Linked DNA regions of Zea mays. Each later gene encodes a partner of the first gene's protein in a complex. Links are inferred from orthologs where the notes say so. Each region holds a gene or a part of one and is shown in the gene's direction. Other genes may lie near its edges.

Region 1 (4,159 bases):
CCCACATACCAACACAAGTCTTTTGTGCGCACTTTGTCCTCACTCATGCGCACCCGAGAAAACTTCCCGGTCGGTCACCCATCCCAAATTGCTCCAAGCCAAGCACGCTTAACTTGGAGGTTCTTTCAAGATAGGCTTCCGAAAAAGAATATGCACCTTGTTGGTATGATTACACTATTAATTCTATTAAGCCTTGGGCCAGGACATCCCATCCCAGGGGCCAGGATATCACAATCCACCCCCCTTAGAAGACCGACGTCCTCGTCGGTCAACCCCAATCCAGGAACCTCCCCTCTTGGCCACGTCTGTATGTCTAGTGTCGTCATATGCCATGCCATGTGACCACTCCGGGCCCAGATGCGCCATGCGCCATATACCCGAACCCCCTAGCCCACACACGCCCGTGAAACCGCGAGGGTCGGCTCTGATACCACTTGTAACACCCCGTCCAATCCCTGGACCGGCGGTACTTACTCCTGGCAGCTCTCTAGGATCATATATTGTCCCCACATACCAACACAAGTCTTTTGTGCGCACTTTGTCCTCACTCATGCGCACCCGAGAAAACTTCCCGGTCGGTCACCCATCCCAAATTGCTCCAAGCCAAGCACGCTTAACTTGGAGGTTCTTTCAAGATAGGCTTCCGAAAAAGAATATGCACCTTGTTGGTATGATTACACTATTAATTCTATTAAGCCTTGGGCCAGGACATCCCATCCCAGGGGCCAGGATATCACAATCCACCCCCCTTAGAAGACCGACGTCCTCGTCGGTCAACCCCAATCCAGGAACCTCCCCTCTTGGCCACGTCTGTATGTCTAGTGTCGTCATATGCCATGCCATGTGACCACTCCGGGCCCAGATGCGCCATGCGCCATATACCCGAACCCCCTAGCCCACACACGCCCGTGAAACCGCGAGGGTCGGCTCTGATACCACTTGTAACACCCCGTCCAATCCCTGGACCGGCGGTACTTACTCCTGGCAGCTCTCTAGGATCATATATTGTCCCCACATACCAACACAAGTCTTTTGTGCGCACTTTGTCCTCACTCATGCGCACCCGAGAAAACTTCCCGGTCGGTCACCCATCCCAAATTGCTCCAAGCCAAGCACGCTTAACTTGGAGGTTCTTTCAAGATATGCTTCCGAAAAAGAATATGCACCTTGTTGGTATGATTACACTATTAATTCTATTAAGCCTTGGGCCAGGACATCCCATCCCAGGGGCCAGGATATCACAATTTGTTCGGTTATTTTCAATCTATAGATTGGAAGAGATTGATACGTATTGAGAGAGATTTTGACTTACTAAGGATTGAAACCCTTTAATCACCTTCAATTTATATGGATTGGCATAGAAGGGAAGACCCCTCTCCCTCCCTTTCAACTACACTAGTTACCAATGGCACAAATCTCGTAGCATCTGCAGTGGCTACCAATGGCACAAATCATGTCTTGTATCGGGCGACAAAACCGCTAGTCACAAGAGTGCTGAGGCCAAAGCTGAGAGACTGGAGACGGCAGTAACGAAGATCCAAGCATTGTTGCCGTTTCAAGAAGACCTCTCCCTGATGATACCGTGGAACGCAAACCTGATGCGCGTTATCATGGGAGGCGACACCCAAAATCCTGAATTACAAAAACATTATTAATTTAATCACAGTTAAAAATTACAACAAGGGGATGTAGCTCAAATGGTAGAGCGCTCGCTTTGCATGCGAGAGGTACGGGGTTCGATCCCCCGCATCTCCAAACTGTTTTTTACCCCCCTTGTTTTATTTTTTTTACCTCTTCTCCCTCATTGTCACTTGGTCAGTACTCAGTACTACTCAGGATAACTGTGCGGACGAATTCGATTGCGTACCGTCTAAACTGACAGCGCAAGTGTTCGTGCGGCGGGAAAATTTCTGCAGTTTCATTTCTCGTTCGGAATATGGTTACCGTTCCTTTTTCTTTTTGTACATGTGGCCATTGGCTAAGTGAACAGCGACACCTCATCGCCTCGCCCTCCTACCACGACAACTGGAACGTGCGAGCCTCATCACCTCCCGACTCCCCTCCACGCCTTGGAATGCTGCCTGCGCAGACGCTAACACACACGTTTCCCATGGCAGCGTCCACGGCCTCGCGCATCTTCACGCCCTTCCTCCACCGGCACCAGCGGCGCACGAAGGCAGTCGTGGTCGCAGCCGCGAGCCCGCCCGACGCCGAACCGACTCCTGCGACGGCGGACGGTGCAGGGCCGGGGAAGAAGAAGACGGTGGACACCAGGATACACTGGTCCAACCCCGACGAAGGGTGGGTAGGAGGCAAGGCCAAGAAGGAAGGCGACGGCCGCGGCAGCAGCAAGAACGAGCCGTTGGGAGGGAGGTTCGCGGACCTCATCAACAACGCGGCCGAGTCTCACTACCAGTTGAGTTCATCTCCAATCCATGCTCATATGTCCTTTTGGATTGCCGTCCAGCTGTACATAAATTTGTAGAGCTCTGTTCGAGACACTGTCATCATCATGTCAATACTTTGTTACTAACGGCGACACATGACTGAACTGCAAAATCTATCACCCAGGTTCCTTGGCATAGCGCCAGAGGCGGACATCGAGGAGATCAAGACGGCGTACCGGCGGCTGTCCAAGGAGTACCACCCGGACACGACGACGCTGCCGCTCAAGGTGGCGTCGCAGAAGTTCATCCGCCTGCGAGAGGTGTACAACGTGCTGAGCAAGGAGGAGACACGGCGGTTCTACGACTGGACACTGGCGCAGGAGGCCGAGAGCCGCCGCCTGCAGCAGCTCAGGTCCAGGCTCGAGGACCCATACGAGCAGGACATCATCAACTACAAACCCGTGCCAGACATGGTTGACCGCCTCGGCGGCAAGAACATGAAGCTTAGCGATCAGGCCATGACTGCGCTCACCATCGATATCGTTATCATCATCATCTCCATCTGCTGCATCATCTATGCTGTTTTCTTCAAGGAGCAGTACTGACAGCAGCATACCAGCAACAGCAGCAAGGTTGCAGGAGTGTACCATAGACAGAACATTATAGGTAAATTAACTGATAATGCCCTAAGATTGTCTTTTGGGATGTTATCATGCACTGCATCATGTAATGTCCAATAGAATAAGGTAGGAACGACGATTATTCATGGTTTGTTGCCAACAATCCTATATTTGCATAATCAAATCATAATTCCAGTATAAATCTGTGACATCATAATTTATTGCGTCAAATCAAAAGACAATCTGAAAAGAGGGCAAAATTCCCTAACAAGATATCTTGTGCTCTTGCTGTACTCTACTTGGAACTTGGTTAAATAAGTGAGATGGAACTGGAGGTAATCTCCCATGCGATACATGAAACTACAGCATGGGTTGTAGGTATCAATCATCTAATGCCTAACCTTCACACTCAATGATCTTGACAACAGAAGAATCACCAATCTTTTCAAAGATTATCAACCTGTCGAAAGGCTTCACTATGCCAACCGACCGACCATAGCTCATCGCAAGTTTTATCCCATACTCTTCCTTTGTTAGCCCACCAGTTTCGGCCTATTACAGAGTTTTAAGCATTCATGGTTAGCCATATGTTTTTTTACATGTAACTCTAATGTTAGGGAAAAATACAATTGCTTACATACCTCATCAGTACTCCCCATCAAAGGGTACACGCCTCTCACTGCGAAACATTGTCTTGCCTGAAAGTGGTTTAATAATGGTTACACATTCGAGTTTGCTGGTCCTGCTTCACGACAACCAGAAAACTAAGGAAGCATGAAACTCAGCAGAATCATAGACATACAAGTTACCTGTGTTGTGCCATAAGAACGCCACTTTGATGGATCGGATCCTTCACGTGGGAAGATAACTGCTAAAATTGGCATTGTTGGCCTATACTTGGCAACTAACCTGTGAACAGATAAGCATAAAATGAATTGATTGCTCCGTATGATGGAAATGTGTCTAATGGTGTGCTGATCATGAAATGAAATAAAGGGGAGCACCTCGCAGCTCTCCCTGAGAATGTGAACACAACAATGGCAGCAGCTTTTACTTTGATTGCAGAACCAACCTAAAAACCAAGTAATGGTTAACTGATGTTCTATAAATTAGAAAGCTTGTGTTTATTCCAATGAATTGATAGTATTTACC
Region 2 (4,174 bases), on another chromosome or scaffold:
TATATTACAGTATAACTTTACTTCAATCGATGAAAGTTGTAGAGGCACTGTCTATATATTTCATTATAACTTTACTTCCATCAATAAAAGCAAAAGTTGTAAAGGCACTGTCTATATATTTTAGTATAACTTTACTTCCATCAACAAAAGTAAAAGTTGTGAATGCACTGTCTATATATTTTCAACATAACTTTACTTCCATCAATAAAAGTTCTTATGAAGCTGTCCACCAATAATTTGCTTTTTTGGAAGCATGCATGCATGTAAATAAAAGGGTCAGGCGGAAACATGCCACTCAAATTTTTGAAAAAATGGAAACTAGTTCATTTTCATGCCACCATGGCATCAAAATAAACTAGCCGTCTAATTTTGTAAAAATTGAGTGGTATGTATACAATTAATACTAAATAAAATGGTTTCGACGTAAGAGAAAACCATACAGGTAGGCACTCAGCACATGCTTTTAGTTATTCCAAGGGCCGCATACCTCAAAAACAGAGATACGTGCAATATGAGGTCCATTCGTCTCCACTATAACCTTCTTCTCCTGAAAATTTTATCAGCACTATTCGTAACAACGCTTAACTAGATGTGGAAGACATCTCGGTAGGTTGACAGAGAAGATGTGCGGCTCACTCACCGAGTCCCACACAGGCCTGTGCGTGCTGCAAGAAAAGAGAAAAAAAGTTCACATATTCGAATCGAAAAGTGGTACGTATTTACTAGATATAGAGTGGTGATAAATGCATGCAATTCAAAATTAGATGGAGAGTACAGGCAAAGGCGATTCACGATATGGTGGCTCATAACTGGCTGAGGTACTTATCAGCAATCCCGCGTGCGGCGTGGAAGTTAAAATTTACTAGATCGGAGGGCACAGCCAGAGGGACATTTGAGAGTTACCAAGTCGAGGGACACACAGCACGCAGACATGAGAGCGAGACAGGGATATTCTTGCACAGAGGAATGGAAATGGAACAGACATAGGACGAGTATTCGAGCAGTAAATAAAAGCAAGGGCGACGCACTTGTCGGACGTCTCGGTGCGGTACGTGCGGTCGCCGAGAGAGAGGCACGCGAAGAACTTGTCCTTGAACTGCATATCCGCCTGCGCCCGGAAACCGAACAGGAGGATCAACCATGGCGAGTCAAAGTCAGAGTCAGAGAGGCAGAGACAGTGATGCGATACGAATCGAAACCCACGGATTCCGCCTCGGCTGGCCGCGTCGAAGCGGGGAGCGAGACTCGGTGCTAAGGAACATGCGCGTAGCAGCGGAGTTCGCAGCGCGCGGCCCACGTACCTTGGCTATCCGGACGCGTGCGATGCCGGCGAACTCGTCGGCGGCGAGGGCCTTGGAGGAGACCGAGTCGTCGCCGGCGCCGCGGCGCAGGCGGTTGCGCAGGCGGCGGCGGAACCGCGCGAAGCGCGAGGGCAGCGCCTCGCCGGCGCCGGCGCAGGCAGTGGGCCGCGACGCCGAGTGGCCCATCCGGACAGGTTGGTGGGGACTGGGGACGAAGACGGACGGGACGGCGCGGCGCGGCGCGGCGCGCCTTTTGCGGGACGGTGGTGGGCGCGGCGTCAGACAGACAGACAGACGCCTAGGCAGATGGTGGTTGGAAATGGGCCAAAAGTAGAGTCCCTTTTGAATCCAGGCCAACCGCCTGCCTGCCTGCCTGCCCGCGCACGCCGGTTCGTCGCCCGGCCGCGGGCCCCATCGCCACTTTGATAACTCGGTGGACCCACACGTCAGAGGGGTTTTGGAAGGTGTGTAAGGATGGAAGTCAAACCTGTGTTGATGGCGCTGGTGGGACCGGACAAGGAAGATCCACCTGCGTGCGCTGCGCACTGGGGGGGCGCCTGCCTGGCTCTTGGATCCACCCATTTCCCATCGTCGTCTTCTTTTTCTGAATGGGAATCTCCACTTCTTGGTGGTGGCAGGTCATGACAGCAGCCAAAGTAGATGATGATTCCCCCCCCCCCCTCTCTCTCTCTTGCGCTTGCAATGGGAAGCAAATGGCCAACCAATAGCAAAAAGGCAGCCGTGTATCGATCGCCTTATCCGGGTCCTGTGGCACTGGCACACCGCGCGTCCGGATTTGGCTGAGTAGCTGACTAGCTGAGCGAGCAATCCATCCCTTCGCCCGCCGCACCATGGAAGCCCTCGCCTCGGCGCCTCGGGCGCTCTTCCCGCGCGCGTGCCCAGTGGCGACGCCGGCCGGCCCAGCCCGGCGCCGCTCCGCCGCTCCTCACATCTGCAGGGCCTCCGCGGCGGCCGGGGAGGAGACGACGCCGCCGCCGCCGCCGGCGGCCGCTCCCAAGAAGATCCTCAAGAAGAAGCCCGTCTACTCGAGTAAGACGACGACAAGACCCCCCCCCCCCCCCCCCCCACCCCCCCCTACTTCTCCCTCTAGCTCTCGCGCGCGCGGCCATGCATGCATGATGAAACTGGCTGAGCTTTGCAGTGAAGAAAGGGCAGATTGTGCGCGTGGACAAGGAGAAGTACCTGAACAGCATCAATTATCTGTCAGTGGGACACCCGCCCTTCTACAAGGGGCTGGACTACATATACCAAGACCGCGGCGAGGTCTTGGATATCAGGAACTTCGAAACAGGAGAATACGCCCTGGTAATGAAAACTACTTCCATCCGCGCATGCTGTGTTCAGAGTTTCGTCATGCTTTCTGCCTCCACCATACATGTTCAGAGTTTCAGACCAACGCGCGCGTGCATGCATTTCAGATCGCTTGGGTGGGGATCCCGACGCCACCGGCATGGCTACCAACCTACATGCTCATCAAGGTAGCTGATTCATCCCCAGTTGGATCAATCTGTACGTCATGCACCACTCGTCTCACCTCGCTCTCGCTCTCTGTCTCTGTGGCATGTGATTTGTTGCATTGCAGTCGGACAAGCTCGACTACGAGAGGATATGATGGCCGGCCGGCGGCCTCGCAGGGCACCGTAGCGCCGCCGCCGAATTCATGCTTCATTTCGCATCAGGAGTCGGCCAAGCAGGACACACCTCTTGTTGTTGACTTGTTGTAGGTATATACGTACATGCCAGTATTGCCAGAACAGTCGACAGAGGCAATCTGAGACCTCAGCTGCTGGAATAATCAGGAAGTAGATCGAGAGCGACGTACGATGACGAGATTCATAATTGCTGCTGCACATCACTTCTTTATGTTATTTAAACTCACATTTCATAATTAATACTAATAATATATTGTCTCCGTTCTTGAATATTTGTCTCGTCGATAGTTTATTTTCGAATAAAAAACGACAAAATAAAAAAATGATAGTGTACCGATTATGAAGCAGCCACAAACAAAGGTTTATAATATACCTTTCCAGCATTTATATTATGGGTCAAAGTGTATCATCACGCACACGCCTCTGTCTACACTCCGCAGCTAGCCACTGCTGAAATAAACAATGTACAATTAGTCAGGGAGGGAAACAAGGTTGAGCCATCTTTAGATAATCTCTAAGACCGTGTCAACCAACTCCCCTATCTCATCTCATATCACATCCCTTATTTCAGACTTTACTCTATAAACAATGATAAATATTGTTATTTACAGTATCATGTCCTCTATTTTAGGGGATCCACTGAAGACAGTCTAAGTTAGTGTTTAGAATGGCTCGATGCCAAGAAACGACTTTGTTCGAAAAAAATAGGGAGTTGGATGGTTCAAGATTTGATCATATTTTTTCTTTTTTAAGCCGCTATATTCTACATAAACCAATCCTAACAATAATAGATTTAGGAGTGTAGCGACTCAGTCCAACCCTACTCCAAAACCAAACGCTACCTACAATATTTTTTATGGGTAACGACATATGAATTATGAACACAGTGAGATTTGTCGATCACCCCTAATCCACGTTGAGGTAGATTCCTAGCTCTCACTTGCTCCTCTATCAAGACATCGCTTGATCTTTGAGCCAAGTGGACAGTAAAACACTCAATACCTCAATTGTACTAGCGTCGCCTTTGCCGCTCCGACGACGTAGGCGCGAACCCCTCATAGACTCCTCCGAGGTTTCTTCACAGCCTTCATGAAGAGTTCGACAGAGTCACCACCAAGCCGTCTAGGAGGCGACAACCTCCAAAAATAACAAGTCGATGACAATCACTTGATGTTCCACATAGTGCCTCAAGATCACTTT

Evidence for each region.
Region 2: NAD(P)H-quinone oxidoreductase subunit T, chloroplastic (region 1) and NAD(P)H-quinone oxidoreductase subunit O, chloroplastic share a complex: the UniProt entries of both Arabidopsis thaliana proteins name them as parts of the chloroplast NDH complex. The link is inferred for Zea mays from reciprocal best matches to the Arabidopsis thaliana genes NdhT and NdhO.

The regions. Positions count from the first base shown.
Region 1 is NC_050099.1:14,035,220-14,039,378, forward strand, and holds NAD(P)H-quinone oxidoreductase subunit T, chloroplastic, read left to right. Parts: upstream 1-1,963; 5' UTR 1,964-2,074; coding exon 2,075-2,415; intron 2,416-2,571; coding exon 2,572-2,992; 3' UTR 2,993-3,222; downstream 3,223-4,159. Other genes in the region: Pyruvate kinase 1, cytosolic, read right to left, coding at 3,404-3,559, 3,649-3,705, 3,817-3,916, 4,012-4,079, 4,159-4,159. UniProt on the Arabidopsis thaliana protein: NDH shuttles electrons from NAD(P)H:plastoquinone, via FMN and iron-sulfur (Fe-S) centers, to quinones in the photosynthetic chain and possibly in a chloroplast respiratory chain.
Region 2 is NC_050103.1:163,551,981-163,556,154, reverse strand, and holds NAD(P)H-quinone oxidoreductase subunit O, chloroplastic, read left to right. Parts: upstream 1-2,000; 5' UTR 2,001-2,152; coding exon 2,153-2,351; intron 2,352-2,463; coding exon 2,464-2,627; intron 2,628-2,740; coding exon 2,741-2,800; intron 2,801-2,904; coding exon 2,905-2,934; 3' UTR 2,935-3,212; downstream 3,213-4,174. Other genes in the region: Phosphatidylserine decarboxylase proenzyme 2, read right to left, coding at 488-547, 641-665, 1,029-1,108, 1,302-1,487. UniProt on the Arabidopsis thaliana protein: NDH shuttles electrons from NAD(P)H:plastoquinone, via FMN and iron-sulfur (Fe-S) centers, to quinones in the photosynthetic chain and possibly in a chloroplast respiratory chain.